Linked DNA regions of Cricetulus griseus. The protein of the gene in region 1 interacts with the protein of each later gene in a biochemical or structural test. Links are inferred from orthologs where the notes say so. Each region holds a gene or a part of one and is shown in the gene's direction. Other genes may lie near its edges.

Region 1 (4,124 bases):
GCCCACTTATGCTCTCTTTTCCGGTTCTCTTTTTCCAGCTCTCCCTGCTCTTCTCTCCCTGCTCTCTCTTTCCAGCTGTCTTCCCCGCGGTTCCCCTGGGGCAGGCAGGACGTTTCCTGTCTCCCTCTTCGTTTCTGTCCTCTCTGTGTGTCTCTGCCTCTTTACCTCTTTTCTTTTTCCTTCCTCCTCCCTCCCCTTTCCAATAAAACTTCTCACTTAAGCTCTGTCTGCCTAGCATGTCCGTCCCTGTCCCCCTGCCACCCTCCCCCTGCTTCCCGCCTGGTCACCCTTGCCTGCCATGGAATCCACCAAGGTCCCCCATGCAAGGTTCCCTTCAAGCTTTATCGCAACATGTACCACTTGCATGTCTGGTGTCCATGGAGGTCAGAAGAAGGCGCCGAATATCCTAGAACTGGAGTTACGGGTGGGTGCAAGCCATGGTATGGGTGCTGGAAACGGAAGGCTGCAGGTTACATCACTTTTACCTGGTGCCATCTAAAGGGAATCATCTGTGGAAACCGTAATGGGAGCGAGAGCCGAAGCACTAATATACTGTAGTAAAACGGTTTTCAACTTGGAAACAAAGCTTCACTCCTTTATAACCCAGACAGTAAGGCATGAACTAAATCAGTCGAATGGCAGCTATTGTGTGTTCATGAGTACAGGTGAACCCACCAATGTTCTTTTGTCTACAGACCTGAATTGGTCAGCTTTTGAAAAAAATTACATTTATTGTTCAGGAAACTGGGAACTGAAAGTCCAGTATCTGCCTTAGTGAAATTCTGGTACCTGAATGATTCCTTCTGAGAATATCAGGGTCAAGAGTTTCACAGACATTTTTGCCATTTACAGATTCTGGCCGTGTGTCATAAAAAGGTTAAGTAGTTTAGAGTGGTGTCTAGACATTGCTAAACAACCTAGTATATGTCGTGGATTATCTAGAACATTGGTTCCCTTATGTAAGAAGCCAGGCTTTGTTCAGTGTGCATTCACTGATTCTGAAATTTGACAGAGTTGGGGACTTTGGAAGAAGGAGGTCAGGAAAAATGTTTCCTTGCTAGTGTTGCACGTGAGGGTTTCATTTAAAACAGGTAGCAGGGCAGAGGTAGAACCAGGAGGGATTAGAGATGACTATGCTAGATCCTCAAAACCTTGCATTATCCACAGCACCCAGGTGAGATCTGGAGAGAGGAAGCCATGGCTGCAGTGATCCTGGAGAGCATCTTTCTGAAGCGCTCCCAACAGAAAAAGAAAACCTCACCTTTAAACTTTAAGAAGCGCCTATTTCTCTTGACTGTGCAAAAACTTTCCTACTATGAGTATGACTTTGAACGTGGGGTAAGTTTCCCAAACGTGAAGTCTGGATTTCTCCATTTCAAGGATTGGATCTTAGATATGTGAGACATGAGATAGGTCATCCATGGTAGAAGGGGAGGTGTATGTGGGGGTAGAAATAAAATAGACTTAAGTACTTCAAACTCTTAAAAAATATTTCTTAGACTGGGAGTAGGTGCAGTCAAGCCAGGGAAAAATTCAAGAGTGTTAGAAGCTGTTCAGAGTGTCTTCCATGGAATCTTGCGGTTGGTAAAAGCTCTTTACATGCCTCTTGAGAATACAATCCAAGGATTCAAAGTTGCCTTTTTTATTTCTATTCCCTGTTGTCATTTTGTTTGGTTTGGTTTTTTGGTGGTGGTGGTGGGTTTTTTTGTTGTTGTTTTGTTTTTTGTTTTTGTTTTTGTTTTTGTTTTTTGAGACAGGGTTTCTCTGTGTAACAGTCCTGGCTGTCCTGGAACTTGCTTTGTAGACCAGGCTGCCCTCGAACTTACTGAGAACCCCTGCCCTTCAGTGCTGGGATTAAAGGTGTGTGGCACCACCACCCAGCCTGCCTTTTTTGTTTCTTGTGACGAAATTGACTATAATCATTTATTCTTCCTTGTCATCTTCCTCCTATTTGGTATTTAAAGACTAGATAAATGTTGGATTATTTTTTACTTTAAAAATGACAGGTTTTGCCAGGTACAATGGCACACACTAATGCCAGCACTCGGGTCTACATAGTGAGTTCCAGGCCAGCCAGGGCTACATAGTGAGACCCCAAACAAAGAGAAACCAGGATCTGTTAGAATATGTGAGCTACCTACCACAGAGGATGATAAGATAACAATGTGTGTAAACGTCTGAACGCTTGATCATTCTTAATCTTCCTGCGTTTTCTTCCTCCTTCCTTCAGAGAAGAGGCAGTAAGAAAGGTTCAATAGATGTTGAGAAGATCACCTGCGTTGAGACAGTAGTTCCTGAAAAAAATCCTCCACCAGAAAGACAGATTCCGGTAAGAAGCTAGTGTCAAAGAGGGGGAGCTGCAGTTTGTAAGGCGCTTGGAACTTGCAAATACTCCAAATAGAATGGTGGTGTTGTAGTGCATTGTAGAACAGTTTTGTTTCTTTAGAAACTCTTCATCAGGAGCCAGTGAGATTGCCAAGTGGGTAAGGGAAATTGCTGGCAAGTCTGATGACTTGAGTTCTATCCCTTGAACCTCACACAGTGGAAGGAGAGAACCAACTCCTGAAAATTGTCTGCTTACCTCCACATGAGAACTGTGGTACGAGTGTGGACACACACACACACACGAAACACATAGAAAGCAAAAATGTAAGAAAGAGAAAGAAAGGAAGGAAGAAAGAAAGAAAGAAAGAAAGAAAAGCTTGTCATTTAGGCAATGGTTCAGTGGTAAAGTGCTTGCCAGGCAAGAATCCCCAGAACCCACCTAAAGCCAGACCCAGGAGTGTATTCGCACCTGAAATCTCAGCCCTCCTGTGGCAACATGGGAGGTGGAGACAGGAGAATTCTAGAAACTCAAGGTCCAATTAGTCTGGCATATGCAACGACTGAAAAAGTGACCATGTCTCAAAGAAGGTGGAAGATGAGGACTGACACTGGAAGCTATCCTCTGACCCCCACAGGCATGCTCTGGAAAATAAGTACGTACAGACAGACAAACAGACAGACAGACAGACAGACAGACAGACAGAAAGAGAGAGAGAGAGAGATTAAAAAAGAATTTGCCAAAAGAGAATTTGCTTGCTTTTTTTGAAAATATATTTTATTTTTAATTGTGTGTGTGAGTTGAGTGTGTGCATTGTGTGTATACAGAGGCCAGTGTGTGTGTGTGTGTGTGTGTGTGTGTGTGTGTGTGTGTGTGTGTGTGTGTTGAGTGTGTGCATTGTGTGTATACAAAGGCCAGCGTCAGATCCCTGAGTTAGAATTTCAGGTGGTTGTGAGTGGACGTGTCTTCTTGGGACCAAGCTTGGATCCTCTGGGAGAATAGTTATGTACTCTTAACCAGTGAGCCATCTTTCCAGCCCGAAAAGTCTTCAGTCTTCCATGAATTGGTGATAACAAGTCAGCTTTATTCTTCCTGAATTCCCAGGCTGTTTCCAAGGAATAGCACCGGATGATTACTGAATTGATTTTTTTGTCATTTTATTTTTCCTGTTTATAAGATTATGCATATCTAGGATAGAAAATGGAAAAATATAGAAATCACAAAACTAAGATAAAAAGATATATAAACCCATTATTCATTTAAATAATAATTATCATTCTGGTATATACAGGTTTAAATATGTTTTCTCCACTAGCGATACACATGCACCTATATATTATATAACTAGAATACAATGCTACTATATATCTTGCTTTGCAAGCTACCTGTATTTTTGGGGGGAGGGAGTTGGCATTTTAGATTTATTTATTTATTTTCTGGGTGTGTATATGTATGTATAAGTGTGTGTAAATGTATGTAAACCTGTTTGTGTGCATGTGGAAGCCAGAGGTCCAAGTCAGGTAAGTGTCTTTCTCTGTCCCTCTCCTTCTTCTTTTCCCTTTAAAATGTTTTAATTAATTATCTATCTGTCTATTTGAGACTATGGAGCCCCCTGAGTGCTAGGATTAAAGGCGTGCATCAGCATGCTTGGCTAAACTTTTGATGTATCTATCTGTCTGTCTATATGTAATCTGTCTATCAATTTCCACTACGGAGTTCCTGGAGAGTGAACTCAGGTATTCAGGCTTGGTGACAAGTGCCTTTACACTCTGAGCCAGTTATTTGGCCCTTTATACCTTAT
Region 2 (3,647 bases), on another chromosome or scaffold:
TATGTATACCACATGCTTGCCTTGTGTTAGAAGATGTCAGATGCTCTGGAATTGCAGGCATTTGTGAGCTTCTATGCGTATGTTGGGAATCAAACCTGGGTCCTCTGGAGGAGCAGCAGGTGCTCTTAACCACTGAGCCATTTCAAGCCCCATCCTCAGCAATTCTTGAAAGCCATCAACAAATGCTGAGTTGCCAGGTTGAAGGGAAATGAAACTATAATGTAATCAGTGGCTATGAGTGAGTTACTTTATACATCACTTCATTAATCCTGTCCATAGAGCATTTGAGCAGTCAAGTTGCTTGACAAGGCCACACAGTCAACAGTGGAGTTAGGATCTGAATTCATTCAGTCTGTCTGAAGCAGTATAGTACTTAGAACAATCCTCTCAGGAATGCTAGAGGCCATTTTTAAAGATGCCATAGGTGTAAAGGGAACTAGGAAGGATTTTAGAAGCGAGAATGCAGTCTGAGAGGCTCTGAAAACAAGATGGTATGTCTCTGTGCCTTGGTTATTCTGGTCCACAGATTCAGGCACAGTCAGAGCATTGAAAATGAATGTTCTTTGTTGCAAACAGTTAAGGGCATCTCGTGAGATCAGAAGATACTACAGACATTCCAACAGCTCTTGCTGCTTACGCCAGAAGGAAGACCTTCAGTCTTCACTGTAAGATTGCCTCTGTGTAGGACACATTTCAAAGGGCTAGTGTCTAAATTTATCTGTCTTCCCTTTCCTTCAGTGCTGGGGATGGAAACCAGGCCTTTGTATATACTAGACACGCACTCTGCCCTAGCCATCCCTAGCTGTCCTTTATCTAGGTAGCACTTGCTGGCACAGAATTAGAGCAGGAGTTAAATTCCTCTAGAACACAAACTTTGCACAGGAGCTAGCTGCTGCTTCCTTTCAAATGCTCTGGAGGCTGGTCAGAAGAAGGCTCAGGAAGGTTGTAGGTCCTGCCGACTCCATGCTGTGGGACTGCCTGCCCGCAGAGAGCAAGCCTTTAGGAACTGGGGTACTACTTAGCAGACTCCATGTGACTGATGTTCTCTCTCACCATAGTGGCTTCCGAAGCCTTTGAAGACGACAACTGTAGCAACTTAGTGTCTGAAGATGACTCAGAAACCCAGTCTGTATCCAGCTTTAGTTCAGGACCAACAAGTCCATCTGAAATTCCTGACCAGTTCCCTGCAGTGGCAAGACCCGGCAGCTTGGATCTGCCCAGCCCTGTGTCCCTGTCTGAATTTGGAATGATGTTTCCAATACTGGGCCCTCGAAGTGAATGCAGTGGGGCCTCCTCCCCTGAATGTGAGGTGGAACGAGGTAAGTTGCAACCCAACTTGTGGATTGTTTGTGCCTTTGCTTGGGCTCTGCCTGACCAGCTTCAATAACATAGAACTTAGGTCCTTTGTCTCTCCTTAGAACAGTCCCCTTCACTGGTTTGATTCCTAGCTACAAAATGAGGATGAGTGTATCTCTAAAGATACACACTAAGGAATAAATGCAGTGTATCACCCAGTGCTGGAGAACCCCTGAGATGCATGGTGGGTGGCGTGGGAACTGCAGAGGGCTCAGGCGGCTGATGCCAGTGCCTATGGTACTCTTGGAACTGTCAACTCCCATTTGGCAACCTTTGTATCTCTACAGGAGACAGAGCAGAAGGGGCTGAGAATAAAACGAGTGACAAAGCCAACAACAACCGCATTTTCGGCAACAGCAACAGTGGTGGTAGCAGGGGCAGGAGCCAAAGCAGCACATCCCTTGAGGGCCAGACCTTGGAAACCCGTATGAAGCAACTCTCTCTACAATGCTCAAAAGGAAGAGATGGGATTATTGCTGACATAAAAATGGTGCAGATTGGCTGATCCATGTGCAATGGATGGCTATGGATGGCTATGACCCATGTGCAAATCACATTTATACATGAAACTCAAGAAACATCGTGCCAATAATCATTTAACATAAGCCAAATAGTATGCATTTACTCTAAACTGCACTAACCAAGTTTCAGTGATCTTGAGGGCTGAAGAATTTCCCTCTGATAAGAGCTCTTGGGCTGGTGTGTTTTTCAGAGCAGAGCCATTGCAGATAAACTGTGACCAGGGTCACAGCCTTTGCAGAACATTCCCTGTAGCGGCAGTGTGGAAGCAATAACTAGTTTCTGTGAAAGAACCTGAGCCAGGAGGAGAACTGGACACTTAGCCAGACTGGGGTCACCAGCCTACATCTCTATCCCCTCTGCCCCCTCTGTTTGGGGAAACTGAGATGTTTTCTCCATTATATCACAGGGCACCAAAATAATTTTCAAACTCACACAAAAACTCAAGTGTTCAGAACACATTGTTTTGACCTAGTGAAAGCTTAAAAACAATGCCAAGAACACAATTCATCTTCATCACCTCTGGTGCTCAGAGGGGGATTTAAAAAAAAAAAAAAAAAAAAAAAAAAAAAGCATGTCTTCTGGGACACCAATTAAAACCATTTCCTAGGAAAGCCACCATGAACTGCACTTTTGGGGGGTGGGAAAGGTGAATGAATGCCAATGTGGGGATGGGTAATGAGGTTGCAGGGACATAGCATAGAGGGGATTTGTGGCTGTGGGAGGCTCTATAGCCTGACTTTAGCCTGCCAGCCAAGGGGGGGTATATTCTAAGACAAGTGCATGTGAAGAATGGTTGCCACTGTTCTATCTAGACTGACAAGAAGTTAATTTCTCTGTAGGCTGTAACTTCTACAATAATTGCAATTATTTAAGGTTTATGCTGCACCTAGTATTCCTTAGAGGAAACGGTCCTTAAAGCTAGGAAAGGGAGTGGGCATGTACTGGCAAAGGCTGGTAAATAGAAGCAATGGATGCCATGATAATAGTGTGTTTAGACTTAGTGTTTATGGTTATGCATATTTAGGGCACTGTATTTTATCTGTCCTGTTTTATTGATTTGGCTTTTCTGAAGAAAAAAGCACCCCCTCCTCCATTTCTTAATTGTCTCTTAATTCTGTCACAGCTTGTATATTTTAGCCATGTATGTATAGCTTCATACAACAGTGGTTTCTCCTTTTTTATTGATGGATACAGTATCCTAATTACAAGGTTATTTTGTACTTGTTTTAATACCTTGAGGGTAATAAAAACTAAGAAAACTTTGTGACTTCAGATGAGAAAGCCTGCTGTTGTCTTACTCTGGGAAATGCCATCGCTTTAAGAAAGCCCATAGAGTGCAGTGGGCATCTGCTCTCTTTTTCAGGTAAGATGGTAATCCTGGTCATTTAAGATCAATCCCAAGGTCTGGATTCGAATTCTACTCATGCATGGTGTTACACAGGTGTGCACCAAGGAGAGACAGGCAGGCAGCCCACAGGTGACACTCAGCTTCACTGGGGTGGGGGTAGGGGTGGGATAGGGGCTAACATCCTGTGATATGGTTTGTCAGTCTGATTTAATTTGTGGTACACCTGGGCACTTTTTCAAAGGAGTATCAGATTTTAATGTATATGCTGCATACTGAAATGTGTTGTGGGATAAGTGCCCAGTTAGTGTTGCCTATTAATGTTCTCAGAAGTCCCTTTCAACTGCTCTGTTCCCTGTAGCCGAGACTTTGTTTATTTCTCCTTCCTATCAACATTTGTGAGGTAAAGTTGTGTAGTTTAATG
Region 3 (4,184 bases), on another chromosome or scaffold:
GTTTGGCACTCTATTCAATGCTATAGATACATGTTCACCATAGCAAAAATACACTTTGTGGATGAGGAAATAAGGCTTCAGAAAACCTAAATGATTTACTCAGAGGATCCAAGGAAGAGATAGATAATAGATGTGAGCTCAGGTCAACACATTTATTTATATTAGTTTTGGATCACTGGGCTCCTTTGTTCATCAATGTGTGATTATCATAAACAGCTTCCACTCATTGTTTAGACACTACAGACTGGTTTTTGTTACACGTCAAAGTAGGAAGTAGGAAAGCAAAGAAAGTCCTTGTACTGGGAGAGCTGGGGAACTAGGTCTCCAGTGTTCATTTCTTCCTCACTTTGCACTAGCAACTTAATGTTCTACAAAGTCTACAAAACAGGTAATCAGGCTGAACCAGCATAAGAAGATACCGAGTTTAACTCTGTTTATTAGATTAAGAGTGCTAGTGGCTCATATAGTAACACAAACATGACAGAGAGGTTCAACCAACTCCAGGATCCTAGCGCTGTTTTTCTTTTTTTCTTTTTTTTCTTCTCTGAGTCATGCTACTCCTCCCTGAATACTTATTTACTTAAGCGCCTCTGTATCAGACTTCAGCAGCAGCAGTGTGTTTCCCATACTGGACTGATTATTGGCTTGCTTTTCTCCGTAACAGTTTTCAACTTTTAAAATGGCCTTTAGATTTAGAGTTAAAGGGAGAAAACCTATTGCAAGCCTTGCCTCAGGTACCGAGTGATGAGTGATGTGACCTAAGTCAGCAGCTGATCGAACAGTGGGGAATCTGAAAATGCTATAGTGCTTTCTGACAAAGGGAGTGACACTCAGACAATCCGGGTACATCAGGGGCTCACAGAGCAGCAGGGCTGACTCTTGGGGAGAGGACACCTCTGGTTTCCCAGTCACCCCACTTTGCTAAGATGCCTATGCTTTCACTGAGTGGTGACGGCTGCTTGGGTATCCAGCCAGCTTCTTGTTTTCTCCGTCCCGGCCGTATTCTCCCTTCCGAGTCTTGACCTGCCGGGAGACAGATCTACTAGGATGACATCTGGCACCAAGAGGGACACTGCTGGTTCTGGGTGCAAGGCGGCAAGCCAGTGTCTACAGCCCCAAGGCCGGCAGGGTCAAGTTCCTCTGGGACTCTAGGGGAAGGCCACAGCTGAGGTGCTGCCACGCTAGGCCTTGTGGGCAGGCCCCGACCAATCACCGTGGGGTATACACGAACTCCAGCCAATCAGCGCCTGCCTTGTTCCCGAGTCCCGCCCGCTCTAGCCCAGGTCCCCGAACCCCGTCCCGGCGCCGGCATTCGCGGCTGTCGCTGCAGCCGCCTCCGGAGCCGACTCGGGCAGCCCGGTTCCTGGCGTCCTTCGTTGTCCCCTGTCGCCTTCACTGAAGATGAGTCCCTGCGCGGCCGCGCGCTTTCCCAGCGGAGACCCCCGGCGCACCTTCATCTAGCGACTGGTGAGGGAGGAGGCGACGGCGTCCTGCCAGCCCGGCGGGGGAGCAGGGCCCGGGGAGGGGACTCGCGGAGGGGTGGCTTCGAGCTCCGCGCCGCGTGGCACGGGCGAGTGGCCCGGGAGCGCAGCCCCGCCGCCCCCTCCAGCTAATGAATGGCCTGGTCCCGCGAAGTGCTACGTCGCCCGGCTGCCCGACACGCCCTCCAGCGACGTTGCACTTCTAGTTCCGAGAGTTGTCTGGCGTCACTTCCTAGAGGCTCCCTTGTCCCCTAAACCCTTAGTGGAGTTTACAAAGTCTGAGCTCAGGTGGACCTTGCTGAGTTTGCAGAAAGATTTACTGCTGGGTGGAGAGGGACTGTGTCTGTTGTGCAGAGATAGGATAAAGAGGCCTTTGGCTCGTAGCTATCAGGTTGCAAGGGAATGTTAGTTCAGAGGGGAAGTGGCCAACCCCATACCTAAGGCCAGGTTTGACTTGATTATCTGATGTTCCAACTTAGTCGTAAAACTTGAGTTGTGTTAGCCAGAGGGGATGTTTTGCAACAAGCAAATGCTGAGTAGCCCTGTTCTTTTACCTCGAAGTAAGACATTTGAAGAAATTCGTCAGACATACTGAAAAGAGTGGTGGTGCCTTAAAAGATTACATTTTTTTTTTTTCGTTTTTAAATAGTGTTGCTACCTCCCTAATGCAAATTCGCAGGCATTTTTGGTCAGTGCCTCACTTCCTTGTTGAAATATTTTGATTTGTTTTTTATTGTGTTAGACCTACTTCATGGTAAATGTGGAGACAGAACTTTTTTTTTTTTAAACGTGTTTTCTAAAAAAGTGTTTGCAAAACTTTAGTCATATCGCAGTTTGAAGAAAAAGGTTGGCTATGTTGGTTTTCACTTTTAATAAAACTTTTTTGAAGGACTTTCGGTATGCTAATTTTTGTGTGATGATTTCACTTCCTTCTTAACTTTCAAGATGCTTCTGGATTGTAAACTTCTAGACTGAATGAGTGTACTTACTAAAGGATGTCGGTATGACTTGTTACTTTCAGTGACACAAATTAGTTTCTTATTACGGGGGACTACTGCTTTGCCACATCCGGATGCACTTATTGCCCCCTAAATTTTGGGCAGATTTTCTTTTATGAAAACGAGATAGATACTGACCTAAACTAAGTTTCTAGGTCTTTTACACAGAGAATATTTGAGAACGATATGAATTACAGTATCAATAGAACTAAATTATTTAAACCATTGTAAGTGCTTATTTTTAAAAATGTGTTTAGGTTTATAAAAACTTTTCTCTGATTATGACTTGTAATCTGCAGCTTGTAGCACTTACATTAATAAAGATACAGGTGTACAGGGGAGGTGTTTTGGTGTTAAAGAGCTCAGTGAAAACAGTCCTGCTTACTGATTGTGAAAATTAAGAGGAAGTATAACGTGCTTCCCTCCCATCCTGCAAGGACACATGTCAGCAAGGCATGTATCTCCAAGGGAGGTCATTGTCAGTAGCTCACAAAGGAAGAAATGGAGGAATAGGGACCTCGAGTCACTTGTCTATGGTTCTAGGTGTAGCAACCCCAAGGACAGTTTTTCTTGACTACACAGTGTTATATCCTATTGACATTCCTAAATGTTGTCTGAGAGCCAGTTGTTTAACAAGTGCCATCCAGGGCACTCCTCTCTCTGTATGATTTTTAGGTAGGCTACTTGTTTCCTCATGGTAAGGTAGTCATATTTATAGTCACTAGTAGGGTTGAAATGAGACTTCGTTACTTTAGGTAAAGCTCTGTATGTACATGTCCATATGAAAGTTCAAAAGATGGTAGATACTATTTTATAAGCACTGAAACGTAGCCTTTTAAAGATTTGGTTGACAAGTATTTCAAAAAGAAAGGGTCCTAATATAGTATAGATGTTTTCTGACTTATTTACCAAGATGTCTTAGAACAGGTCAAGAGATACCTTTAAATCTCCTTTTTACAAGTGAAAATATTGAAACTTAGAGAAAGTAAGTGGTATGTTCAGGGTCCTTAGGTAGTTATGTACTTGCCTTAACTAGCTTGGGTGTTCTGAATTCAGAATCTGAGCATTGTGTATTCTATTACACAGTCTTAGTTACTGTTCTGCTATTGTGAAACACCATGTCCAAAGTGACTTATAGACAATATTGAATTGTTATTAGCGTGCTTACAGTTTCAGGGTTAGTCCTTGATATTTTGACAAGGAGCATTGGCAGCAGGCATGCTGGCATGGCTCTGTAGCAGTAGTTCAGAGCTCAAGTCTGATCCTCCAAATAGAGGCAGAGAGACAGAGACACTGAGACTGGGCCTAGTGTGGGCTTTTGAAACTTCAAAGCCCACCCCCAATGACATACCTCTAACAAGGCCACACTTTCCCAACATAGCCACACCCTAACTCTGTTCAACTAAGTGAGGACCAGACATTAAACATTGGATCTTTTGGGGGCATTATCATTCATACCACCACAAATACCTGTGCCCATCTGAAACTCTACCTGGGCTTCCAACGGTATTTTTTTTCTTGTTTGAGAATTTCTTACATGCATATAGGGTCTTTTGATTAAACCTACTTTCCATTTCTTCCCCTCCAGTTCCTTCTCACCACTGTTCTCTTCCATTTTAATATCTTAAAAACAAACAAACAAACAAACTCACTTAGGCCACTTAATGCTGCCTGTATGTGTATGGGTGTAAGGCCATCTACTGGA

Evidence for each region.
Region 2: the proteins of Btk (region 1) and Sh3bp5 form a complex in vitro, tested with the Homo sapiens proteins (2 studies listed by BioGRID, with this or other methods). The link is inferred for Cricetulus griseus from reciprocal best matches to the Homo sapiens genes BTK and SH3BP5.
Region 3: the proteins of Btk (region 1) and inhibitor of Bruton tyrosine kinase form a complex in vitro, tested with the Homo sapiens proteins (2 studies listed by BioGRID). The link is inferred for Cricetulus griseus from reciprocal best matches to the Homo sapiens genes BTK and IBTK.

Annotation. Positions count from the first base shown.
Region 1 is NC_048604.1:45,526,296-45,530,419, forward strand, and holds the start of Btk (tyrosine-protein kinase BTK), read left to right. Parts: upstream 1-1,197; coding exon 1,198-1,338; intron 1,339-2,230; coding exon 2,231-2,329; intron 2,330-4,124. UniProt on the Homo sapiens protein: Non-receptor tyrosine kinase indispensable for B lymphocyte development, differentiation and signaling. Binding of antigen to the B-cell antigen receptor (BCR) triggers signaling that ultimately leads to B-cell activation.
Region 2 is NW_023276807.1:188,330,220-188,333,866, forward strand, and holds the end of Sh3bp5 (SH3 domain-binding protein 5), read left to right. Parts: intron 1-1,058; coding exon 1,059-1,319; intron 1,320-1,643; coding exon 1,644-1,861; 3' UTR 1,862-3,150; downstream 3,151-3,647. UniProt on the Homo sapiens protein: Functions as a guanine nucleotide exchange factor (GEF) with specificity for RAB11A and RAB25. Inhibits the auto- and transphosphorylation activity of BTK. Plays a negative regulatory role in BTK-related cytoplasmic signaling in B-cells.
Region 3 is NC_048597.1:195,941,772-195,945,955, reverse strand, and holds the start of inhibitor of Bruton tyrosine kinase, read left to right. Parts: upstream 1-1,262; 5' UTR 1,263-1,467; intron 1,468-4,184. UniProt on the Homo sapiens protein: Acts as an inhibitor of BTK tyrosine kinase activity, thereby playing a role in B-cell development. Down-regulates BTK kinase activity, leading to interference with BTK-mediated calcium mobilization and NF-kappa-B-driven transcription.